Oryzias latipes: one gene and its partners. The protein of the gene in region 1 purifies or fractionates together with the protein of each later gene. This does not show direct contact. Links are inferred from orthologs where the notes say so. Each region holds a gene or a part of one and is shown in the gene's direction. Other genes may lie near its edges.

Region 1 (3,954 bases):
CCTCCCTGTTTTTGGGGTTCTGGGATTGGAGCTCAGCACAGAGAAAGCATGTTCCTTAACACATTGCAAACGCATAGTAGAGTCAAACCCAAAGAAGTTTAATCTGGATGCAGCGGAGCTGTCAAAGAGGAAGGCCTTCATCACCAGCACCAGACATATGGTCAGGGTAAGCCTCCGCCACACCTCAGATGTGAACTCGCTTTGGGAGGAACCCCAAACGTCTGCAGCACGGTGGTCTGGTTCCCTTCGGTTTGGTCAGTCTGGTAGTTCATTGAAATAGTTGAAGACCAATGGCTCCTCCAAGTACAGCCCTCAAAGATTTTAAAAGTAGAACTCATCACATCTGGAGAGAATGGTGGCCTGACGCTGGGCAGCATAACAGACCCCTAAACTAAAAAGATGATCTTTACTGTTCAGCTGTTTGCACACATAATGAATGATTATCCTTTAGAAAGCATCCCCTCCACAGGAACACATTTGGTCTGGAAAGGTTTGGTTTGTTTTTTAATAGCAGCAAAGACATCAGTGGGATAATGTCACGTGTCACGATTCCCTAACAAGGAATACTTATTCTAAACAAAACAACATGTTACAGCTGTCTGAATGGTGGGCCTGACAGAGTAAAGAGGGAGTTTTGTTGAGTCCATCTAAAAACAAAAAACAATACAGAAAGGAAGGCCTTCATAAAATCAACTTCAGTGATTTTACAAAAAATAAAGCACAAAAGATCTTTCAGACAAGACGGTAAATATATATTTTTAACGTCTTATTTTAACACTATATTTAACTGAAAGCTGATTTAGTTCTGGGGAACTGCAGCTTTTTCAGGAGTGCTTCAGATTTACGAGGGGGGGGGGGGGTGCTATAGCACAGTTTACATCAGAAATCTAACCATACATGCCCCATTAGTTATTTTCTTAACACGGATCAGTTGTCTTGGACTCCTCCCCCCTGGCGCTCCAAACAGGAAGTACCCGCTGGTTTCAGGAAGTCCCATAGAGCCTATAGAGAACTAAACAGCTGTTATTCAGTCATCCTATTGGCCAGAAGAACCATTCTGGATCTGATACCTTTTTTAACATCTTCTTGATAATCCAAATTTAGTATTTTGTATTTAAACTTATTCAAGTTACAAACGGACCAATCAGATGCCTCAATAAAAGTAGGAGGAGCCTGCTGGCCCCCAGGTTGAACGTTTGACAGATTTTCTGTAGCTCACGTTTAAGTGTTTGGTGTGAGTGGTTACCATAGAAACGATGACTCAGACCAATCACTGCATACTGTTCCAACATGGTGGCGTTTGTGTTGGGGAAAAAACGTCAACAGAAGGAAGTAACCCATTTTCTGTAGATGACGACACACTTCTCACTCCTGTTCTCCTAAACAGTCAATAGTTTTGAGGGTTTTTAAACTTCAAACAAAAACTTTCATCACTTTGAATCCAAGCTTTACTATAAGATATTCTTAAGTGACATGAGAGGACAAAGAGAACTTCTTATTTCTGATCAAAATTTAAAAACCTGTTTACACAGAGTGCCATATAATTATATCCAACTTTTTTTTCATAAAATACATTTTTTTAGTTCTGGTTCATCGCTGTTGTTATAAGAGTGAGACGCCATGACCAAGTTTTCTGTAATGAACCATAAATCCATGTATGTGACGTCTTCACTTCGTGACATAGTCTGCCGTTTCTTTTCTAGGAGATGAAGGAGCAGATGTCGTCTCCAGGAACGGCTTCCTTGGACGGGAAGAGCAAACAGGTACCAAGTCTCTCTCCTGGTTAGACAAATGCTACCTTTGACAGAGGATGACATCATGAAACTTTGTCCTAAACTCCAGTACAGCGCTCCCTCGTTTATAGCGCGAGTTACAATCCCCTGCTATAGTTGTCATCCACAAAGTGGGGGATCTATTTTTTACAATAAGCACAGATGCTTGAAGGCAGTAAAACTCCTCACTACAGACTTTATCCCTGATATCTCTCCCCTGTTTTGTCTCTCATAGTTGAAGTTTACATTTGAAGGCAATTACAGGCCTCTGAACCCACACATTTAATGGCTGATTGAACACTTCTGTTGCTCCACTGTATGCTTTTCTTTTGTGTTCAGGCTTTGCTCGGTGAGCGTGGAGCTCAAGGACGCATATGGCAGCCCGGTTCAGACAAATACCGCCGTCTTGACCATCAGCTGCAGAGCGCCAACAGTCAGTTCATTGAGGAGGCACAGGTGCAGCAGCAGGTACAGACGGACCGAGAACAGATGGGGGCATGGAGGTGATGCTGAGCCCAGACCAAACGCTGGTGTGTGTGTTTCAGCTGATCGCAGAGCAGCAGGACGAACAGCTGGAACTGGTGTCTGGGTCCATCAACGTTCTCAAGAACATGTCTGAAAGAATCGGCGTGGAGCTGGACGAACAGGCTGAGTAAGAACCACAAGCTGACCCTTTAAACACATTAATGCCAAATATGACATCACCCATTTGCCAACGTCAACACCTGATAATGGCTGACCGTTTATGAATCTGCTGTGTTGTGATGGTGAAATTGTGGATTAATTATAAAAAAATAAATGTAAATACTTTTTTTAATTAAAAATAACAAGTCGTTCAAATGCAATGCATTGAAGTCTTCCAGATTTTGGAATAGTAGATTTGCCCAGCACTACAGAAAGTGCACTGTGTAGAGAGCAGTGAAGGAGTTCAGTCACAGTCTAGGGGTCTTGATCAGTGCTGCTCACTCCTGGTCGTCCTACCACCCCGTCTAGAAAACCCAGTTTTCTACATCTCTAATCCCTGCTTGGTTAACTCAGTCAGGTGCTTCCACATTCTGATTGAATAAACACACCTGGTTCAGGTAAAAGGTAGCATGATTCGGTTCATTTAGAAATGAAGGACTCAATGTGTTGCTGAGAGCTTCAAGACTTACCAGATAACAGCTGTAACAGAAGCTCACTTCAACAGCATATAAACAGGTCAACTTCGGTACTATATGTGTATTACACAGCAGATGTTAGAAGGAGCCACAAAGTTAAATTGTTGCCACAATCAAATAAGGGAAAAATAATTACAATTTTGCCCCTCTCACGATGCCGTTGTGGAAAAAGGGCTCATCAAAATCTGGTTTTGGTCCTTCTTTGCCAAATTCTAGTTGTTAAGCTATAAAGACAGGAACTGTTAAATAACAAATTTCTTGTTTTATGGTAATTGCACATCATGTTCTTATTGTGAAAGGGCCGGTTGGATGGGATGGGTCGTTGTTGTGTTGATGATGGTGGAATGAATAAAGAAAACGTTACGCTGCGAAGTGAATTTCAATTTTGTTTAACATTGGTAGCAGGGGATGATTAGCAACTACAGAGTCCTACAAACCTTTGACGAAGGAAAACCGTACAAAAGTTGGAAAAAATAAGTTGGACCCGAGTTACAGACCTTGAAAAGAAGAAGCAAGCACTCTCCGTTCCTTTGGCGCTTTCTTCTGGGCAAGCGAGAGACGTGGCGATAGAAATATCAAAGGAGGATTTGCTCAAGGACACAGGACACGTCACTAATAAAGCTAGATGATCGGTTTCTCAAAGAACAAAGACCGGACCTACTCAAGTTTGGATAACGAGAGACAGTAATGTATCCGTGACGGATTAGATAATTGATTTTGAACAGCGGTATACTCAAATGTGTACATACAAGAGGGATCTTCCGGATGCAGTATGAGCATTTTGTTATGTGTGAATAGATTTAGTGTCTCTTGGATGCTGTGCTTGCTGAGTACAGCAAGACTCATCTCTGTCAGCAAAAGAAAAAGATCTGCTCACGCCCAAGATTGGACAAATTCTCTGGGTTGCAAGGCAGAGTCGACCAAAAGTCTTGTTTGATGCTTTAAATCCATGAAACGAATAGAACGGTGTGCAAACTGAAATCCAGTGAGGTGGCTCTGAACTTTGAGCTTCTAGGCAGGGA
Region 2 (4,578 bases), on another chromosome or scaffold:
TAAGAACAGTCCAGTTTAAGAGCATGAGGAAGTTAATGCTGCCTGCAGTGGTGTCTAGAGGCCAGTACCAGATGACTGAGTCTATGATTGCCATGGTTGAACATATAGCAATGACAGAGAGGGCTATGATTGGGCCCCAGTGGCACAATCTTCGAACCTCATGGAGGTTCTCGAATCGAACTAACGCTGAAAGGAAATTCATATTCGTCCCACTGGAAGCTTAAGAAAATGTTCTTTTTTTTTTTTTTTTGTTGGGGACCTGAAATGTTTGGACTCTGCCTGAGTGTGCTACTTGTTTCTTATATCTTGCAAAGTCAGCAGTGCACACATTTTTATTTTCATCTTTCAAGAATCCAACTACATCCCTGGTCTGTGGTCACCCGGCCTTTCCGTGTCCCGGTGTGTCTTGCCCTTGAAGAGCGCAGCATGCTCCCCTCTCAAATCCTGAAGCACAGGAACCTTGTGAGAGTCCGTTTACCCATCTGATGGAGAGAAAGAGAGAAAAAAAGGGGACAAGCATTTATCATAGAGTGCTAAAAGAAAAGGCTATATTTCCTCTTTATATATGCAAAATAGGTGCTATTTATCTGGAAAACAGGTAGTTGTGGGTCACATATTGACTCCTATCTTTATATAGAAATCTATATATTCTAAAGAACGACATAACTATAATGAAAACACTTTTAATGGTCAAATTAATTACGTTTTATTGTTTTTTAAAAACAGAGATATTGGAAGGGTGAAGCTTTGAATGAAAGAAGAAGAAACTCCATGCACAACTAATTAGCTTGTCAAGTCAAGCTTAGCTAGCAAATTCAAAACAACATTTTAAGCTAATTCCAACAAGTTTCTCTATGTATCAGGAATTCATACATTCATACTAACATCTTGCAAAATTGTAATTAGCTTGGCTGTTTAGATAAACATGTTTCGGCTTAAGAGTAGATGCATGCAGCAGGTAGCGAAGAAGTGAGGTTGGTTAGTTAGCTAGCTCGTTCACCATCTTCCACTACCAGCACTGACAGGAAAACCATTTCAAACTCGAAAAAAGAAAGATGAATCAAACATGACACACGAACGTAAAGCTACGTAGAAATAAACACATTGAATAGTGTTTCAGTAAATAAGCTGTCACTTTAAATTAGTTTAACCTTACCACTTGCACTTCGGATTTTTGTTTTCCTCCCCTATGTGCCCTGAGAACCTTCCTAGTTGCGTCTCGGATTGAAAATCCGTCAACTACAAACAGTCAGATCAAATTTAAAACAAAATGAAAAAATATATGTTTTGTTAAATAACACAACAAAGAGATAGGCGTGATAGTTTTCCGAAACCCTCTCTCAGTAGTAGCGCCAACAGAACACCCAGTTCCTAGCCGGACACCTTTTAGTGTGACTCAAGGAAGAAGCTTGTTATTATTTTGAGCTAACTGTCAGCCCTAGAGCTACTTTGCTACCTAAACGTACTGGTCAAAATGTCTTCAGACTTTGAATCCTACGAGCAGGACTTTGGAACGACTACAGCCGAGTTAACAAATAAAATCGGCAGAATTCCCAAACTAAGTGGAGGTAAGACTTTTACCATTTTAGCGTCAATTAATGATGAGCTGGCAGGCTAGCTAGTAGTAGCAAGAAAGCCTCAGTTCTAGTAGAAGGTGTAGCTTTAATTGTTAACTCTAACTTGTTTGAAATCGTTATAAATATATTATGTTGATACATTTACACGTTTATATTCGCCGTGTGACTCAGTTACTGTGCTCTTTCTGTAGGAACAAAAACAAGTGACCGACTACCTGTGGTTATAATAAATTAATGGTAGAGGCCAGTGTCAAATAGAAACATTATGTCAAATTTATATTATAGATTTTAAGATTATAATTTAAAACCAAAGTTGTTCTTTAGCTTTAAGCAACTGGTTTTAAAGTATTAAAATATTTAAGAAAAATACTTCTAGATTCTACAGATGGCAAGAAACTCCTAACCCATCATAGCTGCTGCCTGTTTTCTGTCAACTTACATAATAGTATTAGAACTGTGATAATCTCTATTCTCTTTTACTATTCTAACATCTTAAACACTTTTAAAATTTAACATCATCAATAATTGTGTACTTAAGCTTCATTTAATTGACTAGAAACATATGTACTTTCCTATTTAAAGTACTCAGTTTAATTTATATCCCAGGGTATTTACTCCACTAATTTGAGAATGGGTTTCAACACTACTAAAAATGTCACTAACATAACAAGAGAGCATATGTGTTCAAATGAAAACAAAAGATCCAAAGTGGAACGTGCATTTTAATAATATTTAGTGGTCTACTACCATCAAATAGTCACCATTTTAGACTTTTACATCCAATGTTTGAAAGCACTTCTATCAATTCTTCTTAAGCCTCTATTTCTTATTTATGCATTTAGTTTTTCTTTCCCAACTATTGCTTAACTTCTGTTAACTTACTGTAGTAAATGAAAACCTTTTCACGATAATTTTGAGGATTTAACTGCAAACCAATACCCTTAGCAAATCAAGTTGTTGTGATATGTCATAAGGTTTTTAATCCCAGTGGGATATGATGCAAAAAGACAATGATTATATTGTACACATGCCTCAGTTAGTTCACATAAAACAATCAAACCATATAGTGTTGGAAGTCTGAACCTAATCATATTATTTACTTAAAAAATATGAACTGCACTGTCATGGTAAGCAATAAAAGAGACACTGTACATATTTATCTCACTTTAAACACTTCTTTGTCACATATGTCCCTGCATATCCATGAAGATGAAGACATTTCTACAGCATATTTTAAATTAGTTGCACATCTTTATTATGTCAAAGCACGAGGAGGACATGTGTTGGTCACAATTTGTGTTTCACAGTAAGACCATATTGTATTTGTCACTTTATTTATGGCACTTTGCTTTGTTTGTATAAGAAAGCATTACTACGGCAGTTATATGGATCACCTCACTGAAACACTTATATTGCAGCCTATACGGAATAATATGCAGTTCATATTGTAACTGTCACAAAATAGTGTGAGCAGATTTCAGATAAGTAGCATATAGTATATTATAAGAATGATTAAGTATGAATGAAGAGTGAATGAATAATGGACAAATTGTTAGCGCTTTGAGCACCAAGAAAAAGCACAGATAAATCTAATGAATTATTATTATTATTATAAAAGACATGAATGAATACAAATTTAAGTCTTTAATTGTAAAAAATCTAACAGAACTAAAAAAAAAACTTAAAAAAATTCACCTGAACATGTGAAACAATGTACTGCTGGTTAAATGCGTAATAGCAATAGACCGGTCAGTTTATTTATATGGCGTCTTACTATGACCGTATAAAACAAGGAGCTATTCATTGAAACTCAACACATTAAAACAACAGTTTAAATGATAACACAATTTAAAAGTTAAATAGTAAAATATTTATAATATTGGAAAATAAAAACACAGTCAAAATAAAACACACCAACAGAGCAGCGTCTAATGGGCAAAAGCCTGGCAATAAAAGTTTTCAGAAGCTTTTTATAAATAGACTGTGAGGACGCTTAGCGAGGCATTCCTCACCTTTGGTGCACAGACTGAAAAAGCCCATTCCTCCTTTAACTTTCTCTTGAACTTTTGTACTCTAATCAGAACCCAGTCAGCTGCCATGAGGCACTGACTGGCATGAAGGGAGAGACAGGCTCAAAGAGGCACGGTTAATTAAAAAAAATTAAATGAAACGGAAGAATCTTAAAGTTAACGTCCAAAATGCACTGGCAGCCAGTGAAGGAAAGCTCCAATTGGGGCGACGTGGTCCCTCTTTAGTGTTCTGGACCACTTAAAGAAGCGGAAGGGACAAGAGGCTGACTCTGAAAGTTACAGTAATCCATTTTAGTTTCTGATGAAAGCATGGATTACTGTCTGAAAGTGTAGTCTTGATAAACAGCGTCACCTTCACCAGCTACCTTAAAGAAAAGAAGCTATACAAAGCGAATTTAGCTATCACGTTTAAAATCACTGTCCGTTTCTGACCTAGATTTGTCCCAGACTTTTAAATGTGAATCAGGAGAATCAGATCTACTGTGGAGGGGTCACACGACTCACTTTAAACTGTCTAAAACAAACTAGGACATAGTTAATTATTTGTTTTTCTAGAAAATCCTATAATTGATAATGACACAGATGTTCTGGTTTGGATGTGATATCTTTGAAGAGTCATGCGTATTTTGAAGAGTATTTGTATGCCTGCCGGGAACTCACTACTGGAGGTTTGGCATTGCCAGAAGCAACCTTTTGCCGGTCACCCACCACAAAAACATATGCTGCCTTTCTACAGACATGTTGGCTTCATGATGTTTAACGTGTCAAATCCAGCAGAGATTTGAAACAAACTTTTTGTATGAAGTTTGGGTTTTCTGGCAGTTTGTGCGGCCGTGGTGCAGCATGAGCAGTTTAGAACGGTCCAGTTTAGAATGGTCCAGGCAATTTAGGTGAGCTTTCCCACTCAAAGTTGGACCTGTCACAGCCTTTGCAGGGTGAGGCTAACAACATTCAGGAGCTCATTTTTCCCC
Region 3 (4,477 bases), on another chromosome or scaffold:
CAGACGCTTTAGGCCGTTTGGTAAGGTTAGCCTTGCAGCATGGCTTGTGCAAATTTGGAGTTGCACATGGAATTTCCAGTTTGCAAGTATCTGACTTCAGGTGACCCCTCAAGGGAAAATATTTAGCTGAGGTTGGGATAGAAAAACAATTTTCCTTTAGACTCTGTCAGCCGATATTGTGGCTGTCTTTCCAGTCACCTTGAAAATGCTTTTGTGGTGTAAACCATTAAACTTGAGAATTAGACGGAAGATTCAAAGCCAGAGGTTCAGGTTTCAGGCCATCTCTAAAATGCACTATGAAATATATCTGGCTGTCTGCGTCTATGCAAAGCAGAATGGGAGGGGGAGGTACGGGTGGAGGGTAAATGCTGCACTCATGTGGGGAAACAGAGCAGTGCCATGTTTTTCCTCTGGAGTCTGTAACAGGACATCAGGAGCTTGTGTGTGAAGCTTTTTAAACTGTTAAGAATGCTGTCCAAACACTAAAAACTGCATAAAACATGAAGCAGATTAATAAAATGGTCCTAGATTAACATAAATGTTATTTTAAAAGTTCATTTTTTTAGGTGAGAGAGAGATCTCATTGGGCCTGTTTTCATCTCACAAATCTTTCATTTACTTATATGAAATAAAAAAATGAGTCAAATTTACATAAAAGTTATCAAAACAAAAAGCACCACACATTGACCACAAATGAACTCAAATATAACACAAAAGAGAAGCGAGATTAATAATTTAAAAAAAAAAAACAACAGCTGACATTTACAACAACCGCTATAGGGAACAAAATATCAAAAAGAGTAGTAAAATGTGGTAAAGTTTGCTTTTTACTATCACCATGAACTGAATCAGCAAAGTTTGGGCTGATCACGTGACCTAAGTTTCAGTGTAGTGATGACATCTTGGTGTGTAGGAAAATGGAACTCCAAACAATTTCTTATCCTCGTATTTCAAACCAACCCGGAAAATGGTATAAAGTTGATATAAAAGTCATATCTAAGTAAAATGTGTGTACTTGAATGTATATTCAAGGCAGCATATTGTGACAGTTACAATGAAAGACGGGACGGTGCCAAAGAAAACCTTTAAAAATGGTAAAAAAATGCTAATCATCGTTTAAAAATGTTAGATAATATTTATAATACGCTATATTTTAAAAAATGTGTTGTGTTAATATCTATGAAATAACTTTTCGCGGCATAACACGTACATTGTTGATAACTAAAAGCACGTGTATTTGAGAAAAGCGTTAATTCCGACGAGACCCAAAGGCGTCATAGGTTACGTTATTCACTTCACTGTGGGGCCTGTGAAGGAATCCAGGAGTGACCAGCGAAAAGTCCACATACCAGAAGGAAGGAGGAGTTGGTAACTCTTTTATCTCTTCCGAAGGGAGTCTGAAAGTAAGTACTGAGTATCAACAAACGTCTCACTTTAGTTCACATCAACTTAGTTGGGGTGGAAAGTTGACAGGGAAGCGGAACTAGCCTATTAGCAGGCTAGCAACACGTTAGCTAGGAGAAAAAGTTTGCTTTCCTGGATTAAGGAAAAACTACAAACCTTCCAACCATGTAAGACGAATTAATAGACCTTTTTAGACTGTCTGTTTCACTCTTATGTTTTCTTGTGTGTGAAAATGTGGAGTTTTGTGTTGTTTGAATGACTTCCCCTTGCTTCAAACTAAGGTTTGGGAGTGTTTGGTTAATATTACCCATTTAACCAAACATCATCTGTTTGTCAGGTGATCTGCTTTACCTGCTGGTTCAGCTTCTTGAGAGATAACCGTGGTCAGGTGCAAAACTACTAGCTTTTGCTTGTTAAATATGTAATACGGAAATGATTAACCATTTTGGGGTGTTTTACTTCCAGATTTGTACCATTAACTGGGTCAAAAATCGTAATAATGCCACTTCTTTCATCTGCAAATGGGTAAAATAAAGATTCATGCTTTAGAGTCTCAGTTTCGACGCTGAACCATGATGTCATTGGTTTTAAATTCAGTTTAACTCCCAATTGTGAACACAAGTCCTTGCAATTGTGGTAAAATTGAGTTATTCGTAGAAATGAGGTTTTAAATTGAAAAAAGAGGCAACATTTAGGCATTGAAATGAAGGGAAAATGGTTAAAGTGTGAACCAAGCATGACTTAAAGCAAGAGAAGACGTCACTTTGAGGCTCATGAAGATCTGGAGTAACAGGTTTGGGTTGAAAAACAAGAAACGTTTTTCTCCTGTTTTCTTCTTGGTCATTTCATTTGCTGCTGTTGCTGTGAAGAAAGTGACATGAGTGGGTTTGTCAGTGTTGCATTATTCCCCATGTGGCCTTTTCTGCAGAAATCTATGCCTGGGTTACTTCATGAACAGGAAATGAAATCAGTTTGTGGGAACATGGATTAGATCTAATGGGTTTTTTTGTGTGTGATAATATTTATGCCTCGTCATAATTACCTTAATTTGTGACCCTTTTGTGTTCCCTGAAAGCTGAATATTTATGAATATATATTTATTTGGGGAAGAATTCTAAACATCCCAACAGTTTGACCTTTGAATCTTTACCAGCAAATCATTTTTTTTTTAGCTAAAATTCTGCAGCAGGTATTAAACCCATAACTGTTATGTGTAAATTGTTGTAGCCAAATTCAGAAATCTGTTTGAAGTTTACACTAAACATGTGCCCTCTTGAATTATACCCTCTCGGGTTGGGTAAAAACAGCATAAGTCAACATTTAGGAGCAGAACGTATTGCCAAGTACACTTTCATCTTGATTTTTATTTTCTGTGGATGGCTGCAGATTTTGATGGGAAGCGAAGCGAGTTTAAAGGTTATTTGCAAAACAGGAAAACGTCAACTTTAAGGGGAAGATGGGAGGACAGGACAGAACAGGACAGGAAGACAGATTATAGGAAATCCTCCGGCCTGGTTGCTTTTTTTTTGTACCTCTCCAATGTAAAACCCATAAGGTGGGAATTATTTTTCCCTGTAATTTATTGAAATAAACCTTTTAATTTTAGTTTACAATAAACTTCTTCTCCTACTAACCATGTGTCTCTAAGGAGGCTTTTTTGAACACATTTTCTATAAACCATTGTTTAAAACCCCAAGAAAATGACACCCATGACCGCACTCGCGTGTGGAAATCATTCTAGGCTGTTCAACAGTGTTTACAACTGTGAGCTGCATCACCGTTTTCTAAAACCATCTTCTGCATTTCCTTGAGTTTAACATGTGTGTTCATATTCTAAAGCAAAGATGAAGAACAGGCAGCCTGCAGTGAGCGGGCATGATCGGCCCTTCCTGCTTCCTGTTACTTTCTCAGCGCTCGCTCTGTTTCAAAAGTTGAGATGTCTGAACACTGAACGCTTGGCCTGCATTCACAGGAACACATTTTAGTTTGTAATGACTGTAAAATGTATTATTTTTAGCCACACCAAGGTTTCAAAATGCCATTAAAAGACCCTTTATAATGTCAGACTTTTACATTTTTGGAAATGGTTTATTGTATCTTATCATGACAGTTCAACGTCTGTTGTTTCTCATATTCATGTCAGTTTTCTGGATCCTTCATTGTTGCATTCATTAACATTGTTGCTAAGATCTCCACATTTTATCAGGGGGAATTGTGGTTTTGTTTCTAACACTCCTTAGAAGACAAACAAAAGCCATTTGTTTAGGTTTTGCATCCCGTTTTTCCATCCGTATGGGTTCAGATGACTTCTGAACAAACGAGATGACGTGTATTATCTCAAACTCTTTGTTTTTGAGTCATTTTCTCAACATTTAGTTGTGTTTTGGTGCATAGATGATAACTCTTCTATTTGTCTGAATCTTTTCAGTTTGTGTTGTTGCACAAAATCTAAAAAGGAACTGTCAACTCCTTATTTAAAAGAAAACAATAAGAATAGTAGATTTTAATATAATTACTATCCTTTAAAATACAATAGAGTATTACACTACAGCTTTTCAGATCCTGTTACCTTTTTTCTGTGATTATTTATGTGAGGAAACAAACCTAGCAGTTTAGAATCTGTTACTGTAGCGTTTATAAGCCGTTTTATATTTGTTAAATGAGGATTTGTTTTATACAGTTTGGTTTTATATTTAACTATCATCCTGTTTACATTGCCTGGATTTGGGAGCTACACGTTTTTCAACAGAAATGTTTATACTATTTTCTCTGGAGCTTTGAATTTTAAGTCATGTCATTCAAATAAATTTTCCATTAAAACGTCATTAAATTCAAATGTTTGTCCAATCCATTCACCTTGTTTTTTTTTCATCATCACCCATAGTCCCCTGCTCAGCAGTTGAGAGTTGGTCCTCTTTGTCTGCTTTATGGTAATCGATGGGATACTAATTAGTACCTGATGACCTCTGGCCTTCTTTCAGGCCTCAGCATATTGAGCTCGGTGCCACGGGAGGAGCCCCCAAACAAGACAGCAGCAACATGGAGGACATGAGTGTGGAACAGATGGCTCTGA
Region 4 (4,596 bases), on another chromosome or scaffold:
TTAATTACAAAAGTCTTATTATAGTTAGTCTAGTGGTGGGATGTACTCAGATGTGGTTTTAATAGTAATAATAATAATACATTTTATTTAAAAGCGCATTTCTAGGCTCTCAAGGTCACTTCACAATAAAAAATGATAAAACACAATAAAGGAAAAAAGATCAAATCTATTCTTTCAAGACAGAAGGTACTATTGATGTGGGTTTTTTTTAATTGGAGAGTTTTGAGTTGGGATTTAAAGGGGGATATAGAGTCCAGGTTTACCAAAGCTTAATGTAATCTTTGGTTAGTAAACAAATTTACAAAAGTAAGACTTGCTGATTCTCCTCATCCGCCCATCGTGTAAACCTGTCTCATCTCTTTTGAGGTCACATGGTCAACGGAGCCTTTCCAGTGACTGTCAGTCAACCGATGGGCGGGTCGCCAGTCCATTGCAGCGCCAAACAAAGATACATTTACACAAACACTCCCAATCACATCTTGGGACAATTTAGAGGCATATTATAGGATGCAATACCAGGAGAGTACCAGGAAAAACAAAACAAGCTAAATTAAGGAAACTCTGCATAGAAAAAACCTGGCCAGGATTCGAACTCAGGCCTTCTCACTTTGATAGCAGACTTTTTAGCCCTCTTAAGCCAGTGATGATAACAAGTCAAGAGATCAAGTCAAATTTGTAATCTACAAACCAACTGGATAACAATTTTATCCCACATTAAAAGTCAATAAAACAATCAAGAAAGTGCTGTCTGCAAATCTGACTGAGATGTTAATTCTTCCATATTTGGTTTGTGTTCTTTCATAGTCCAAAGGCACCATTGTGTCATGGTGTCCCTGAAATGCAGTGGGACAAAGGATCCCTCTTTAGGGATGACACCCTGAAAAAGACTCAAGGCTAAAACCCTGTGACCCAACATGAAGTGTTGTAGAAATAAAAAATAACAATAAAGGAAACAAACGTTTATAAAAGGGATTGAAAAACAGACCAAGAATATATATTTAAAAAAAGTACGAATAAAGAAATAAAAAAATAGTTTTTCCCTTACTACATGTCAAATAAATTTAAAAAAAATTGTTGCAAACTGACTCCACTCTGTCACTGATGCACGAACTAAACATGTCCAAAGTAAACCATTTTCTAACCGTCAGAGAAAGTTTTAGAAATTTACAAAAGTTTTGGGGGACATTTCTGTTGTTTTTTTAGATGCAGAACAACATTTTACTTTGCAGTTCTACATAAGGGGGTTTTCTGTTGGGTACATATTTTTAAATCAGAATTTTAAGTTGACCCATTAAAAACCCCAATATTATCTCAAGAAGCTGTGTAAAATGTTTTTTTTCCCATCACGTTAAAAGCAAGACGCAAATGGTAAAGATATGAAAATTGTGAAACTGCTGTTTTGCAAGTAACACTATTGCACAATCCAAGACCCGACATTTAGGAAATACATAGTAAAAGTAGGAGTTATTTGTTACTTAGCATTTTAGATTTTTTATTTTTTAAGGGTCTTTTCATTTAGTCATGTTAATTATTTAATTTTGGTAAATGAAGGTGTGCAACAAACAAAAACATAAAGTTTTTCATCCCGTAAGAACAGATTGTAATTGGTATGTTTCTTAAAATATTACTCAAGGTTGGGGGAAATAGTATTAAGTGACACAGAAAAGTCTTATTTACAAAGAGTTCCTGAATGCAGCAGGAGTTTCCGTTCTCCCGTGTCACGTGACAGGGGAACTGCTGGTCTGTAACTGGTGATGTGACGACGCAGCTAGCAGCAGTTAGCAAGTTTGTTGACTTTTACATTTAGGTATTTGTCCACAGATTTAAGGGACAAGGCACGAAAATGGACAACAGTGGGAAAGAAAAGGAAGCGGAAGCTTTGATGGCGGAGGCGGACAAAAAAATAAAATCGTCGAAGTCGTTTTTTGGGACGCTGTTTGGGTAAGTTTGTCAGAAAGCTAGCGTAAGTGTTAGCTAGCTTTTCTAGTCTAGGGGCCAACAATGCGGAAGGTGTCTGACTAAGCAGTTATCACTCCGTTTGTATAGCGGAACTAAAGAATACCTTTAACTCTGAGTGGTGAATCTTTCATTTAATTTTAGTTTTGGGTTTAAATGATGCTGTTGTGTCTGTGATGTTGTTACGCCACCATTCCCGGGTTTTCTGCCTCGAATGTTTGTAAACAGCATTATTGTCATTCACAGCAATTGCCTATACCCGCTCTGTTAATGACTATACTTAAAGATTGTTGTGTTTATGTATTAACTTTAAATTAAACGGAAATATTGTTTTTGTCTCAAGTTCAAAGTGTACTTGTGCCGATGCTGCAGCACCACCTTCCGGAATAAAGGTGTACTGCAGATCACATGTCAGTCATTGGTTTACAGCCGCACATTTGTGTTTTCTATAAGATTTAAGGTGGTATTTACACTTAGTCTGCAGAGATATATTGCATATTTATGCAACACGGTTTTAACTTCCAATTTGTCTTTTTTTAAATGCGCGTGTATGTTATCTCACAGGGGTTCCTCCAGGTCGGAAGAGGCCTGCGAAATCTATGTGAGAGCAGCCAACATGTACAAAATGGCTAAAAACTGGTCTGGTAAGTGTGTAACAAGCCCCCCTTCTCCCCGCTGTTATCTGTAAACACCTTAATCTTGCAACATTTCTTTCCAGCTGCAGGAAATGCTTTCGCGCAGGCTGCTCATCTTCACCTGCAGATGCAGAGTAAACACGATGCAGCAACTAACCTCATAGACGCTGGAAATGCCTTCAAAAAAGCAGACCCCCAAGGTAATGTTCTTCATTTCTGTGGGTTTATATATTTATTTTTTAACTCTCAAAACCTGTTCTGTTGTTGTGAGAAATTACACTGCTTTATAAAGAGCTTGCTTCATTTATTTTTTTAAAATAATTTTTTCAAGAACAAAAAGGTTTTCATTCATCAAATGTGTTGCAAATCAAATAAATATCCACATAAATGTATGTGGACACGCATTGCCTTTTAGGGATGCAACTGTTCGTTTTCTTCCCTATTTGATTCAAACCTCCATTTTTGGGTCACGGTTTTGTTTTGGTTCGATATTTGGTGTGTGCATTGCAAAAACAACTACAAAAAACATAGAGAAACATTTTTTTTAAGTTTGCTAATAAGAAATGAAAGAAAAAGCCTTGATTTAGCTTATTCTAAGCCTGGTGAAATGTTATAAAACAATGTCAATAAATTAAAAATAGCAGATCACATGTGTTTGACACTTTCACTATAAATATATGCAAATATATGCTGCGGGGATGCAATATTTCATTTTAAATTGTGTAATATACAGTCTGGTTTTAATTGGATATATTGGGCATCCCCCATTTAAGAGCAGATCAGATGAAACGGGTGTTTTTAATGTTTTTTAACATGTTATTCTGACATTCTTCTGATCATGGAGGACTTTAATGAAGCAAATGTGCCATGAGAGATGGTCATGTGTACTGTGGAAAATTAATTTTTACTGATATGTAAATCTCCATGATATTAGATCTGTGTTCATCCGAACAGGCCCTGATAAAACACTGAGTAGTTAGGAATATGAAAGATCATAAATATCTGTAGCCAAAACCAAAACAGTTGTAGGGATATTACTGGAAAATGATTGGTTCCTCTGGGTTTTTTTTAATGCACAACTACCTCCATTTCCACTGTCTCCTCCTTTCCTGCATCAACCTGATATAATTTGTCTGACGGGCTTAGAGGAATACTGTGGGAATCTTATTTAGCAATAACAGGTACCTGTTGTTGCTGGGGGGGGGGCTAAAACTCCCATGGAGGATGGAGGAGTTGAGCTGCAGGCAGATGTGAGTTGTAGGGCCTATATATCATGCTATTGTTACGCCTTTCAGAGTAAACTTTATCCATATATGTGATCATATATTACCTTTGGCACACTAAAGAATTATTTTTTTGATGAAATATGATGTATTTTCACGGCTCTTTTTCCTACTGGAAGTAAGAATTAAGGAATTCATATTTTTTATTAATTTCCTTCTATATTCTTTCCCATGAAATTTAACGTTCGGTGTGTGAAGTCCTGACTTTACAATTGTTAGGAGTTTGATGGCTAACTAACCATCTGGTTCAGTCAGTAGTTCTTTATTTTGCTGGTGACATGATTGGACTTGTTGTCATGCTACAGGTCAACTCACACATTCCACCTTCATCATCGCTCCAGGAAAAGAATGTAAACGTTTCCATCAGCGTTGCAGATGCATCCTTTCACGTTTGGTGTCGTTTACATGCTATGCCCATTTACATCCTTATCCTCCAGTCCTGTAGCCACTGACTTTTAACTCTCATAATGTGCCACCCTTTTGTGTTCTTATTGGATCTGTGACTCTGTCTTTTGTTTTGTCCTGTTTTATGTTTCCTGCCTAGGGACTATGGATGCAAATTAGCATCATTGCTATAATCCAGCATGTTTACGCCTATCATTGTTTGATAGATGTTCATTAATGTGCACTGTCCCTATTAAATAAATAAAAATAGACATCTATTTTTCGTCTACACATTAACTAGATCAACCTCAGGTCCTTGGGTTGCTGTCAAGTGTTTA
Region 5 (4,031 bases), on another chromosome or scaffold:
CATCGTAATACGAATGTTTTGCTTTTCCTGTTGTATCATCAGGTTAGAAAGTTAGAATCAAACAAACAAAAATCTTTTTTTCGTTCAAAATCTTTTGTAGTTGACAATTCAAATACATTTTTTCTTGCATAACATCCAAAGTAAAAGCACATCAAACTGTTCTTTTTTGCTTTTTATTTGTTGTCTGTTCTTCATAGGTGGTGGATATCATGCGTGTTAATGTGGACAAAGTGCTGGAACGTGATCAGAAACTGTCGGAACTGGATGACCGAGCAGATGCACTGCAAGCTGGAGCTTCCCAGTTTGAGACCAGTGCTGCTAAGCTAAAGAGGAAATACTGGTGGAAGAACTGCAAGGTAACTCTCAGTTTTGCCCCAAACTGTACTTCACAGATTCAACAAACCACCAGTTGTTGATTTTTTTTTTTTTTTTTTTTTTTTTTATCGAAGCAGCAATAATAATACAGATTAACCGAATTTGTTTGACAAATGATCTGTTTGCCTAAATGTGTTTAATTTTTGTGGCGCTCGATTCTCTGCCTGCAGATGTGGGCCATCCTGATAGCTGTCATAGTCATCATCATCGTCATCATCATTAGTGAGTATCAAGACATCGGGAAAAAAAAAGTCAGAATTGTTAGTATTTTTATGTCAGCTGATTTAAAGAATCTGTCAAATCAGCATATTTTTAGGTTGTACTCGATCCTTTTTTACAACTTAACAACTATGTTTGAATACAAAAAATAATTTGTACTGACTTTTTGTGACAATCTTTCTTTTACAAGCCATAATATTCAATGTTTTAAATATTTATAATTCTTTGTTGCTCTAAATGGCTATAATTTTAGAAGGACATGCCCAGTAAATGCATTGTCTTAACTTTTCTATCCTTTTCTTTGTAGTTTGGTCTAGCACGTAAAACAGCCAGCGGATGAGACGTGGAGGCCATGATGAAGAGCAGAGAAATGGGGCAGTGTGTGAACATCATGCCACATAAATCACAAAGAATATCTCACATTGGTGGCTGCTGACCTCCACACGAATTATCTGCAGGGGTCTTCATTCCTTGTCCTGCTTTGTTTTGAATTTATGTACGTGTATTAAGGTTGTGCCAGAGTTGAGGTTTGCCAAAGTTCCACACCTTTAAAAGAATGCACCATGGATGACATCAGAACATTTTAAAATAAAAAAAAAACTATACCACATTCCAAAACAAACTGCCAGAAAAGTTACAAAAAATTTGTTAAGAAGTAAAACTCTTCTAAAGTCTATAAGAAATAAAAACCCTTACTCTATGGCAAGCATGCACACACATAGATTTGAACTTCAAGACTGGTATGAAGGTTATTGTTGTAAATTTAACTCGGTATATATTTACATTTTCACATTTTATTAATAGCATTGTATAACATTTGGAAGGCTAAAAAAGTAACATGCCTACAAAGATGTTCTGGTAGGGTTTAGAGCTAATTTTCTTACCAGTTTAAAGACGTTTAACGGCAGGGCTTCCCTTTTATTTTCTAGATATCGCCATCTTTGGCAATGGTTACAGTTCAGAAGTGAATAGCTAAATCTAATGCGTCGCTTCATTTTTCCACACAGTTCATTTCTTTGTAAGAAAATTCTTTTAAAAAAGAAATTTAACCTTAAATCTTCTTCAATAGGATGCTAACTAACCTTGTGGTCACTCCTGTCTTTCTTCAGCTTATTTTGGACACCACTCCCTTTGCTGTGCAGCTGGTTTGAACTTGTTTTTTAACGAGTGCCTGCATGCCGAGACCAAACAGCCCGACTCGGGCAGCCTCAAAATAACAACAGTCCACATAACGTATTATCCATTTTCTAGATTGTATCCAACACTTTTTTGTGTGTGAAATATCGAGGCATAACAGTATTAGAATGTAGCTTTTAAAATAATATTCTTTTTCTCAATGAAGAAGAACTGCCAAAAATACAGCCATATTCCAACTGCTGCCATTTAAAAAACAACAGTGCCTTTCTAAATGTGCTTAAGCCTTGCATTCATTAACTCAAGTGAACCTGGTTTTTGGAAAAAATATTTGTAATATTACATTTTGTTATTAAATTGCTTTCATTTTTCAATAACTCAATGAATATGACACCTATTTTATTTCTTGGTGGGGACTTTGATGTTGCTACTAATATGTATTTTCTTTATATATAAATATTATCTTTACCAAGGACATTATAAATTAAATAAAAAATGAAACCTGCATAAAAAGTTCATAACGAATGTACTAAATTCAAAGTTACTGAGGTGTAGCAAAAGTAAATTAAAAGTAAAAATATAAAGGCAAACCCAGACTTAAACCATGAACCTGGACTTGCACGATGCAGCTCAGTTCAGGGCGACTCGGTGCTGTAATGCTTTTTTAGAGGACGGTCTGTAAGACAAATAGACCAACTGGGCAGGTGGGCTTACAAATATTGGAAACGCCTCATTGGCACTGCACTTATGAGAAGCCTTCGGTTCAGCGTTCATACAGACTTAATGGGCAACTATACATTTTTCAAAGATTTGTAACACTGTCTCGTGTTGATGGTGCGTTGAGAACAACAAGAACATCCATATTTTAAAATACTAAAAAAAAAAAGGTTTTCAAGGTCTGATTTAACTCAGACCAGTCTGAAAGTCTTCCCAACAGAGATAATTACTGATACCGTGCCTTTTTGACATTCTACCCCTGTTCAGGTATTCATTCTTACACCAACACTGGATTTGTGGTTTTGTTCATTTTGAAATGTTAATGTTTTGATGCATATTTTTAGAGCATCTAGTTTTTTCATCTTCAGTTTGATTTGCTCTTTCTTTTTCCTTGTTTCTATCAAATATAGATAAACTGCTGCCTTAAATAAAACCTTTAGACCAATGAAATGCTTATTTCATTTCATTTCTTATATGCCTTTTTTTAACCACTTACATGCTTTCCTATTTTTAATCTGCTGTTTCCCTCTTACAATTAATTTACATTTAACTCATGAGCTTCGCCAATGTATACTCTACTGGGAATATGTTTGGAAAAAAAGTGCAATTTTCTTCTGTGGCCTAAATTATCCGTTTGAATAAAAACTAATAAAGTCATTTCTAAATTATTTTCATGTTATTTCTCTTTGGGAGATGGAAATTCTTAATCTTTTCTAATATATATATATTTTTCCCTCCTTTTTTGTTTGGAGTCTAACAATAAAGAAATGTCTCCTCACTTCCAGAAGATGGCTAAAGTTTGATTTTGGTCCCTGCAGAGAAGATAACTCTTACAAACTCATTTTTTTTTAGTTATGAAATGCAACACAACTTAATTTAAATCTTTTTCTGTGTGCAATGTCAGGAATCTTCCATTTTATTTTGTTTTTTATATTTAAATCTTTTAATCGATCGATCCTTTATTAGAGTCAAAGCAGCGGCTCCGTTCATAATTATGCATTTGCAGGGGCGTGGATGTAGACTCATAGGGGTTGGTGCCTGCGCAGTTGACATGTTTTCACCCTGTTGTGTAACATGGGGATCCACGTGAACCGCCAACAACTATGGGGATAAGCACGCCCACTACAACTGTCTCCATCCAATCAGGCGCCAGATGTAAGTTTGGCCTGCCCAATTAGCGTAGACTGGGCGGAGTTAACGCGATGCCAAACTCACGTTGCACGAATGTGTCAAGCGATTCGGAATGGATGACGTTTTCTCTGGGGAAACTTAAAAGCATTTAATGTTTTGATTCTATCCGGGACGTCGTTTTGTGGAATTGTTGTATTTTGAAGCTCAGATCGAATTGGACCGAAAAAGGTAAATATATTAACCCCAGAAACTATATTTTCAAGTGTCTCTTGCTAACTCCACGAGCTAGCTGACACCTAACCCCGTGTTGTTAGCGAGGTGGCATTGACTATAATAAACAAAACAAGTTCAAGCTTGCTGTTTTAAACTTTACCGCTAACCCAGTCTTGCTATTATAATGTACACAGTAAATCAATTCTGAACAAGTGTCGTTGGTTGGTGATGTTAATATATAT
Region 6 (4,726 bases), on another chromosome or scaffold:
TTGGTTTGAGTACAACCCAAAGGAGATCAGGCAGACAACAGAAATAATTTGAGGTTGACTGTGCAGCGGCTGAGAAACTGTGCTCCATTCATAGCACGGGTGTAGATGGGTTACAAGAGGAGGCTATGGTTAAGGTATTGGTCACCAAAAACCGTTGCATCTCAAAACTGCAGACAATGCAGAAAAATATACACCCTTTTGACACAAAACACACAAGACATAAGGTGCAACAGGTGGGTAGGTTGATGATTAAATGTGACGTTCCTGAGAGAAAAGCAAATCAACTTAGAAACAAAGTGTAAAAACTACACAAGCAAGAGTACAAATACAGAATAAATGTGGTTTAAATTTAACTGGAAATTTAATATGTCTGGTTAAGCCAATACTCAGGTAAGACTACCGGTAAGTAAGACGACTGAAATGTTTCTTGGTTACTTACTTGGTTGCAATCTTTGATACTCAAAAAAAAGGAAAGTGTAACAACAAAATTATGGTGATAAAATAGCATCTATCTGCCTTATTCAACCTATAAACTATTTAAACAAGAAACGACAATAAATTCCATTTCAACTTACTTAGATGAATTATTTCCATTTATAAAAAGTGTTATTTAATTTTAAGAACATAGTGACTTCAAGTAAACATTAATAAAATCGCGAATTTTTAAATTAAATACCAACATATGTTAAAACCGTAACAAATTGGTTCAAAGTGGAATCAATCAGTGATGTATAATCATGATGTATTTTCCAAGTGATGATCCATTAGAATGATCAAACTCGACGTTTTTTTCCCCTCGTCTCCTTTGCTCCATCTTCCAGTGTCAACAGGTTGTCCTTTCGCCTTGTCAACACAATCAACTTTTTCCAGTCTTTAAACCTGTTTGACTGCAGTGCTGTGAAAGCCCCGCTCCGCCTGACGCGGTACCGGGCGCCTCACCGGGACCCGGTGCCCTCGGTTTCCCTCCTTCTCCACTCACACAAACCCCGCAGTCACGCCGCCACGCAATCGATTCCCAACAGATCCGTCAAAAACAATCAGCCTGCCTGTCATATTTGGGACCAAAACAAGACACCGCCTCCTGTGCGGAAGCGAAGCAACACCCTCACCACCAACTGACTGTCGCTACCAACTTGGCCAAATAACGCTAATTTACACCCGGGTTCCTTCGTTTGTACCTTTTCGAGCGGTGCTGGACGCTGGGCGGCGAGAGATCGAGCCAGAGACAGAACTGTGTTAAAATAAAAGCTTCTCGTTCCACCTCCTATCACAGACATGATCGCCCCTACATGAAGGCAGAGCAATGAATACAATCAGGAGAGGATTCGAGGCGGGGGGGGCGTTGCAACTGGGAGCTGGGAGAGCCGCAGTACGGCGGCCGGGAGAAGACATACTTCCCAAAAGCGTATTTTACTTTTAAAAAAGGATTTTATTTATAAATTATTCTGGGTGAAATGGAGTAAAAAACATAATTGTGTAATAGCAATTATTTATTCAATTTTTTTTATGAATAAAAACACTTTATGTTTTAGTTTGCGAATTGGTTGCGGACGATTGACCGTTGGACGCGGTGACGTCATCTGACGTAACAGGAAGAGGAGTCGCTCTCTTCTGTCAGCTGATATTAACACAAAATCATCGAAGGTTTGTCGAGTTGGTTTTCTTTACAGTTTTGCGGTGTCGTTATAACTGTAGTGTGTCGTGTGAGAATGACCATCAACTCTGTTTTGTTGCTGCTTTTATTGTATTTTTTTTAATTTGTTGACTTATTTATGATCTTTCTAGAAAAGCTAGGTCTGTGTGAGTGATAGCAGCCTGACAACACCCTCGAGTTTTATATCAAAAATCATTCATTTCGTTCTTTTTTACGTTCTTCGGCCGTTAAGTAAATGAAAAAAACATGATAATATTCTTTTAAAATATCATCCGTATGTTTTTTGTTCATAAAACTTGCAACATGAGGACCAGTTAGCCTTTAATAATATTTCTTCGAAAAGTTTGTTACGCAATACTGTCTGACTGTCTGAATTGCTAACCAATCAATTGGTTGATCGATCCCCCCCCCCATATTCTGAAATGACAAATGTTTTTGTTTCATTTTTGTGCCCCCCCCCCCACCACTTTTTATTGTTGTGAAAGCTTTATTTTTTTTATCAATAATTTTTAGCAGTTTGCTGATTATATTGTCTTTCTTGTTGTTATTGTTTTTGTTTACGTTTGTTTCAGTAGAGTAGGGTTTAAACTTAGCTTTTTAAATGTAAAACATTTTGTTTTTTATGTCTTAGTGACCAATTTCAAACGTTTTCTGCTATGGAACAGCGTCCTGGATGAATAAGAGTTATCATAGATGTGCTCAAAAAGTTTAAATACGCCTAAAGCTTTTTTTTTCTCACAGAAAAACAGCTGTTTACTCTAGTGAAATACCTTGTGTCTAAATATAACAAATTACTTAAAGAAAACTCAAATAAAAGGAAACATTAGTCATTAAACTATTTACTCGAGTAAATAGTTGAATGACTAGTAGGGTAAAACAATTAGTGAAAAATTCTGCTTGAGTACTTAGCACCGGATTAATTATTACTTTAACTATTCATGGAAATTACCGTAGTAAAGCAAAGGGTAAACTGAAGAGCAAATACTACTATTTCCAGATTCTAAAATAAATTGTTAAACTAACCAAATGGAAGAACAATATGTCTTTGGTGAATCTTTTTGGCAACAATGAGATTTATTGATAGCTTCCTGTCTTTCCAGTGAGATATTAATTAGCAAGGTCTACTTGCTTTGGATTGACAAGTTTTATGACACTGGAAAATCTGATATTGTCAAAAATCATAAATTGGGCATACCAAATTCAATAATTATATCAGTTATCCTTCTTAGAATTGATAAAATTATGTCTCTACTTAGTTAATAAACAAAGTCCAATTATGAGTATTAATTGGACTTTTAAATATGTTATATTTAATGTGCTTTACACATAGTATTCTGTCTGTAATATTTCAAAATATTGATAGAGGATCCCCTGATGTGTTATGGCCATAAAGTCAAAAACCAAGCCTTATTATGTTTATAATGGTGGATTTTTTTTTTTTTTTTGCAGTTCTCTGCCGTTGTAAAAACCAAGTCATTGTGCTTTTTTAACTAGAACAAACAAAACAATTAAGAAACTCACTGCAGCTGAGTAAGAGTGTTATGAAACTCATCTTTTACAGTTAGTTCCTTATGTAAATGTAACTTGTTACCACTCATCTCCTATTTTTGATGCCGTGAAATGAGAGGCGCAGCTGAGATTAATTTATTTTTCTTTTTTTATTTTCTGAACTGACTTTTCTTTACAGATGGCCTACCCTAAATCCCACAATCCATTTGCAGATGATGACGATGAGGAAGATTTTAAGCCTAAAAGCAGGGGTTTTGATGATGACCCCGATGATGGGTTGACTGAAGCACAGAGGCGGCAGAGGTACCTGCAGCAGGAAGTGATGCGTACAGCTCAATCTGCTGTGGACAGCAGTCACCGCTCTCTTGGCCTGATCTATGAATCAGAGAAGATGGGTGTGGAAACTGCAGAAGTGTGTAAATCTAATCATATAAAATCAGATTTATTCAAATGCAGACATCATTTCTGAATGTTTCTGAGAGAGCGGCAGTTTGAGAAACCTGGTTCATCTTCCTTCATAGGAGCTGGTACGTCAGGGTGAGGTTCTAAAGAGGACCGACAAGATGTTGGACAACATGGATCAGGACCTCAAGACCAGCCAAAAACATATCAACAGCATCAAGAGTGTATGGGGAGGACTTGTCAATTATTTTAAGAGCAAACCAGAGACAAAGCCGCCAGCTGAGGAGCCAACGACCTACCAGGCCAATGAAAGGTACGCTTTACTTATTTCTTCTTTAGATTAGAAGTGCTTGTTGACTGTCATCATTTTACAGTTAACATTAATTGAAATCCAGAATCTTTTTAAATATTCTTACCTTACTTATTTAACATTGGTTTCAGCTTCTTATAAACACAACTTTCCTTTTCAGAGAATCCAACATGTCATTTACGTGTTTGGTGATTATTTTTACTCACTTCTAACACCTTTCAGGCTCAATCTTGTCCTACATTTACAGGAATAATATTCAAAACCCCCAAGACAAGAGAGTGATCTCTGTCTCAAATTTTAGTCTGTTTTTAAAAGTCTTAAATCAGTTTTGGGGGGAAAAGATTGACAATTCTGAAAAAAAATGCTTACAAAAAAAGCTTTATATTTCGAATAAAAAAATATTGTTTTGTAAAGTTAACTAATTAAAAATACATTTAATTTTTTTTCAATTTCTTAATTTTTTAAAGAAACTTTTGAATAAAAAAAAAGTTATCTGAAAGGCAGCCCACTTTTTTTAGAATGTTTTATTCACACTGATAGTTTCACATTGAAACAGTTTCACATTGACACCTGGGAGCTGCAAAGTGAAACTACTGTTGCTCCTGGGAGCTCTGAGTAGGAGTTAAGAGCCTTGCTCAAGGGCATTTTATTTTGTACACTGTGTTACCAAGACTACATTTGATTAAACCGAATCTGCTTTTGGAAAACTTACCATATTTGTTCATTACACCAGAATGCACAAAACATTTTCAAAAGCCAGAGTGGACTTGTTTTATTTTTACTCTGTACATCTTGTCTGTTCTTTAAGGAAGGTGCTTTCACTTCTTCCTACACACGTCCTTAAATATCAG
Region 7 (4,462 bases), about 2.2 Mb from region 1:
CTGAAAGCCCAGGGCCCTGTTCCAGAAAGCAGGTTATGTGAGCTACCACAGTAAGTTTGAGGCTAAGGAAGTTGATAACCTCAGCTTTCAGTTCCAAAAACAGAGGTATGTTTCAGGGTATGTCAAGTTGCCATGGCAACTCATGCTCTGAACATAACCTGGTCTGGAGCAGGTTTAGTTGAAGGTTAGTTTGTTTTCAGAGAGGTGAAGCAGCATGGCGTGTCCATTTGAAGATGATTTAGTGGATGAAGAAGCTCAGATAATACTTTTTCCACAGTGAAATGGTGATAAGACCACATATGGATGTTGGAAAGATAAACTTTTTTACTTTGATCTAACTTAATTATGTGCTTCAGTTAAGAGAAATCATTTTTAAGTCAGCTTAAAAATAACACGTAGTTATCAGTTATTTTACTTTCATTCAAATTAATTCAATTAAGTAGGTGTAACTTTGGTGCTGCTGTTAGATCGGCACCGCAAGGGATTGTGGGATACCATTCACTTTGCCTGTCTGGACGGATTTGGGTTCAAGTGTGGTTTTTTGACAAAATGTGTTTAGTTGTTTAGCTGTTTTAATGTGTTTTACCAAGTTATTTTACCCTGTTATGTTTAATTCTTTCAGCACCATGAGGGAGAGGGAGGAAGAGGATCACGAGTTTATTTAGAACCTTTACTGCCCAGTGGAGGAATATTTAAGTCAGAGAACAGACTTCATAATGTGGTTCCATTTTGTTTCATTCATTTTATTGTTATAAAAATGAGAAAATCTGCAGCCTCTTAGACATAGGAGAGTTCAAGAATTGCAATAAATTAAGATTGAAAAACATTTAATTAAACTGGAGTAATATGATATTTAGTTAGATAAATATGTAAATTTGAGTTGTAAAAAGAAATATTGAGTTGGATAGACGTAAGAAATTAGGTTGAATAAAGTAATAAGTAATTCATTTAAGTTGGATAAGTTATATATATATATGCGTCACAAGAATAATAGAAATAAGATCAGAAACTATTGCTTTTACTTTGTCCGTTATTTTTCTGCAAGCAGAAACTCTTTTTTTTCCTTTTTTCTTTTGATGATGCAGCCGTGTTACTTTTTTGATGGGTTTATAATCTTCATACGCCGTCATTAATCTCAGACTCCGTCTCACTGAATTGTAGCGCTCTCTTTTTTTCACCACGCGTTTCCATGGTGACTCCGGAAATCGGTGATCCATTGAGAATGTCTTTATGTACTTGCTGTGCACGTGCATTAACCCAGGGTTACCAAGTCGAGCGTAATTACGCTAACTCATATCCGGTCTTTTGGAACCAACATACCCAGAGTAAGCAAGTTCAGGCGGATTTCAGCCAGAGTTCAGGATTAAAGTCAGGGTAGTTTTAATATGCTCCCTGGAATACCCCCCTGGTTATCCATGTCTGGGCGTCCTATTTTTATTTGGTGCACAGGTCGAGACGCCAAGATGGCAGCACGCACTCTGTCTGTCTGTTAGCGTCCTGTGAATGAATGAGTTTATTTTTATTTTTTCTTAACGACTTTTAAGCTATTTTAGATTATAATTTATAGTTGTTTCTGGCCTTTCTGAGAATGGTATTTTGTTTATCAATTACCGTGCTTGTTTTTAGAAAGGCTAGCTCCGAAACTCTGTGAGTCAAAGCCTACTCGATTCATTAAGACCCAAAACCAGGGTTGGTTCACTGATATTCGAAGGAACGCTCCATTTTTTATTTTTATTTTTTTTATTTTTATTTTTTATTTTTTCGACGATCATGAACTGTATGCGGTCATCATGAAGATTATCACCGGGTGATCGTCGCTGGATTCCTGGCGTGACTAACCTTGACGGGCCTTATACTTCATCAATTAAGGGAAGTCCCAATTTACCTTCTATCGAAGCTGGCGCACTATTGTATATATTTTTGCCAAAGTTGAGATGCTGATGCCGTCCTGCCTTCCTAGCACCTGTGTGATATGCCCTATCCGAAGCAGATCCAGGAGCGCTTGGCTGGTTGATGAGCTTGCTATCTTTGTGTGAAGGAAAGTGCTTGATTCAACCCTCGGATCGTGTGATCTATACCCATTTAAAGTTGAACTAAGCTTGGGCAGTAATTTCGCTCTTTTTGCCCGCAGCTTTCAAGCTCCGTGTTCCTTGCTGTTTGTGTGGCACGTCACGGGAGGACGTCTGACAAAAAACAAAACAAAACAAAAAAAAAAAAAAAAAAAAAAAAAACGGCTCTCGGTGTATCCCGAACTGGATTCTGGCAGATATCTGGACTGAAGGCTGCCATGGCCAAAGTTTTAAATACCTTCCTTCAAAGCCCCCGGCAAATAATATCAAGGGCTGAAATATTCTTCCTGCTAACATTGGCCTTATATTCCATCGGAGACTTTGGCATTGCCGTAGCTCTTCGGGAGTCAGATGACTCCCGTCCAGTGAATCCAGTGTGTTGTGTATTTCATGCTGGAACAAAAACTTTTATTCATGAATGTCATAATGCATACGCATCTGTGTGTCTCTCAGACAATCCAAATGAACTGCTGCACCTCAGCTGTGTAATGGTTCTTCAGAAGAATTTTACTATAAACTCTACTATAGCATTCTTAAAAACGTTCCCATCTCTAGGACCTTCAAATGCAGTATGTAAGAAACCACAACTTCAAAGACGCCTCATCTTCTTATTGTTGTTAATCTCCGGGAATATTCCACCAAACCCTGGACCAGATAGTCCTACTTTTAGTACTCCTGAAGACTTCAAATCTCGTAATGGTCTTGGATTCATTCATCTCAATGTAAGGAGTTTATTGCCTAAAATGGATATGATACGCATTTGGGCAATTTCAACTGAAGCAGATGTAATTGTTGTTTCTGAAACATGGTTAAACAAATCAATAACTGACTTTGACATACATATCAATGGTTATAATGTTTTTAGGGCTGATCGTCCCAAAAGGGGGGGAGGTATAGCCATCTATATCAAAACTAAACTTAATGCAAAAGTTCTTCTGCAAACATCAATGGCAAAGAAATTTGAACTTTTAGCTCTTGATCTGGAGATCTCTAATTCTCTGCATATTACCCTAGTTGGTTGCTATAGAGCGCCCTCTGCTGATGGCTCTGCTCTTCCCTCTTTAATGGAACTGCTGTCTTCCTTAAAATACAATGAAGTTGTAATAATTGGAGATTTAAACTGGAACTGGTTGCAAGCTGTTTCTGATGATTTTAAATCTTACTGTGATTCCCTGAACCTCTTTCAATTAGTAAATGATCCTACTCGACCTAACCCCAAATTTCCGGAGAAATCCTCGCTAATTGATTTGATTCTTACAAATTCTCCTTCAAAGTATTCAACTGCTGCTGTATTTGCAAATGATATAAGTGATCACTGTATCATTGCTACATCGAGAAACACAAAAATGCCCAAAACCAAACCACACATTATCATAAAACGCAATGTCAAGCAATTTTGTGAACAATCCTTTTGTCAAGAACTATATGAATTTGACTGGCACACGATGATGGAAATTGATAATGTTGAAAGGGCCTGGAGTTATTTCCATAATGAATTTACAAAAATCCTTGATAGACATGCTCCTATCAGGCACTATAAAGTGAAAGGTCGTAATAATCCGTGGTTTAGCTCAGATTTGGCTAACCAACTACATGAAAGGAATGTAGCATGGGCAAAAGCTAGACATTCTGATAATGCATCTGACTGGCTGGCATTCAGAAAACTACGCAATGCTTGCACTACTGCAATTCGAAATGTGAAATCTGACCATTTTTTGAAAAATACTACAGAAAATTTAAATAATCCCTCAAAGTTTTGGAAGATAGTTAAGTCCCTAAATGAAAATAATTCAGGTATTGAGCTCCCTTCAAGTATAATGAAAAACACTTGTAATATAACAGACAAGACAGAGATGCTTTTATGTTTTAATGAGCATTTTGTTTCCTCTGGATCATTATTTAATTCTATAAAACATTCAGCTGAGTACTCCCTCCCTGTGAATCACGAAGATTTAATACATAATTTCTCATTTTCCCTCTTCACAACTTCAGAAGTCTCAGAAGCCCTTAAACTCCTTGATCCTACTAAATCTGCTGGTCCTGATGATCTGGAACCATATTTTATAAAAGCGGCAGCAGACTCTATCGCACTTCCACTGACCTATTTATTTAATTTGTCTTTGTCCACAAACACCATTCCGCATGCTTGGAAGTCCGCTTATGTGTTACCTCTACTTAAAGGTGGTGACCCAACAAATTTGAATAACTATAGACCAATTTCCAAGTTACCCATTTTGGCAAAAGTTTTGGAAGGTCTTATAAGCGTACAATTAAAAGAATTTCTCATTTCAAATAATATTTTAAGCCCATCACAATCAGGTTTTAGAAAGCAACACAGCACAACAACCGCAGCTCTTAAAGTTTTAAATGACATATCTGAATCTCTGGATGAC

What was found.
Region 2: the proteins of syntaxin-6 (region 1) and vti1a purify together in Homo sapiens (affinity purification with mass spectrometry; 3 studies listed by BioGRID and IntAct, counting the BioPlex papers as one, with this or other methods). This does not show direct contact. The link is inferred for Oryzias latipes from reciprocal best matches to the Homo sapiens genes STX6 and VTI1A.
Region 3: the proteins of syntaxin-6 (region 1) and snap23 purify together in Homo sapiens (affinity purification with mass spectrometry; 3 studies listed by BioGRID and IntAct, with this or other methods). This does not show direct contact. The link is inferred for Oryzias latipes from reciprocal best matches to the Homo sapiens genes STX6 and SNAP23.
Region 4: the proteins of syntaxin-6 (region 1) and napa purify together in Homo sapiens (affinity purification with mass spectrometry; 3 studies listed by BioGRID and IntAct, counting the BioPlex papers as one, with this or other methods). This does not show direct contact. The link is inferred for Oryzias latipes from reciprocal best matches to the Homo sapiens genes STX6 and NAPA.
Region 5: the proteins of syntaxin-6 (region 1) and vamp3 purify together in Homo sapiens (affinity purification with mass spectrometry; 5 studies listed by BioGRID and IntAct, counting the BioPlex papers as one, with this or other methods). This does not show direct contact. The link is inferred for Oryzias latipes from reciprocal best matches to the Homo sapiens genes STX6 and VAMP3.
Region 6: the proteins of syntaxin-6 (region 1) and snap29 purify together in Homo sapiens (co-immunoprecipitation; 3 studies listed by BioGRID and IntAct, counting the BioPlex papers as one, with this or other methods). This does not show direct contact. The link is inferred for Oryzias latipes from reciprocal best matches to the Homo sapiens genes STX6 and SNAP29.
Region 7: the proteins of syntaxin-6 (region 1) and vamp4 purify together in Homo sapiens (co-immunoprecipitation; 5 studies listed by BioGRID and IntAct, counting the BioPlex papers as one, with this or other methods). This does not show direct contact. The link is inferred for Oryzias latipes from reciprocal best matches to the Homo sapiens genes STX6 and VAMP4.

Annotation. Positions count from the first base shown.
Region 1 is NC_019862.2:1,649,585-1,653,538, forward strand, and holds part of syntaxin-6, read left to right. Parts: intron 1-71; coding exon 72-166; intron 167-1,703; coding exon 1,704-1,763; intron 1,764-2,111; coding exon 2,112-2,240; intron 2,241-2,317; coding exon 2,318-2,424; intron 2,425-2,430; exon of another isoform or gene 2,431-3,954. UniProt on the Homo sapiens protein: SNARE promoting movement of transport vesicles to target membranes. Targets endosomes to the trans-Golgi network, and may therefore function in retrograde trafficking.
Region 2 is NC_019877.2:9,985,225-9,989,802, reverse strand, and holds the start of vti1a (vesicle transport through interaction with t-SNAREs homolog 1A), read left to right. Parts: upstream 1-1,370; 5' UTR 1,371-1,474; coding exon 1,475-1,568; intron 1,569-4,578. Other genes in the region: palmitoyltransferase ZDHHC6, read right to left, coding at 1-202. UniProt on the Homo sapiens protein: V-SNARE that mediates vesicle transport pathways through interactions with t-SNAREs on the target membrane. These interactions are proposed to mediate aspects of the specificity of vesicle trafficking and to promote fusion of the lipid bilayers.
Region 3 is NC_019880.2:4,947,045-4,951,521, reverse strand, and holds the start of snap23 (synaptosomal-associated protein 23), read left to right. Parts: upstream 1-1,440; 5' UTR 1,441-1,569; coding exon 1,570-1,571; intron 1,572-4,385; coding exon 4,386-4,477. UniProt on the Homo sapiens protein: Essential component of the high affinity receptor for the general membrane fusion machinery and an important regulator of transport vesicle docking and fusion.
Region 4 is NC_019871.2:5,028,524-5,033,119, reverse strand, and holds the start of napa (alpha-soluble NSF attachment protein), read left to right. Parts: upstream 1-1,702; 5' UTR 1,703-1,843; coding exon 1,844-1,941; intron 1,942-2,520; coding exon 2,521-2,600; intron 2,601-2,674; coding exon 2,675-2,791; intron 2,792-4,596. UniProt on the Homo sapiens protein: Required for vesicular transport between the endoplasmic reticulum and the Golgi apparatus. Together with GNA12 promotes CDH5 localization to plasma membrane.
Region 5 is NC_019863.2:28,602,843-28,606,873, forward strand, and holds the end of vamp3 (vesicle-associated membrane protein 3), read left to right. Parts: intron 1-197; coding exon 198-356; intron 357-545; coding exon 546-597; intron 598-901; coding exon 902-918; 3' UTR 919-3,113; downstream 3,114-4,031. UniProt on the Homo sapiens protein: SNARE involved in vesicular transport from the late endosomes to the trans-Golgi network.
Region 6 is NC_019867.2:6,078,797-6,083,522, forward strand, and holds the start of snap29 (synaptosomal-associated protein 29), read left to right. Parts: upstream 1-1,519; 5' UTR 1,520-1,644; intron 1,645-3,341; coding exon 3,342-3,575; intron 3,576-3,684; coding exon 3,685-3,878; intron 3,879-4,726. Other genes in the region: phosphatidylinositol 4-kinase alpha, read right to left, coding at 1,179-1,277. UniProt on the Homo sapiens protein: SNAREs, soluble N-ethylmaleimide-sensitive factor-attachment protein receptors, are essential proteins for fusion of cellular membranes.
Region 7 is NC_019862.2:3,865,156-3,869,617, forward strand, and holds the start of vamp4 (vesicle-associated membrane protein 4), read left to right. Parts: upstream 1-1,326; 5' UTR 1,327-4,462. UniProt on the Homo sapiens protein: Involved in the pathway that functions to remove an inhibitor (probably synaptotagmin-4) of calcium-triggered exocytosis during the maturation of secretory granules.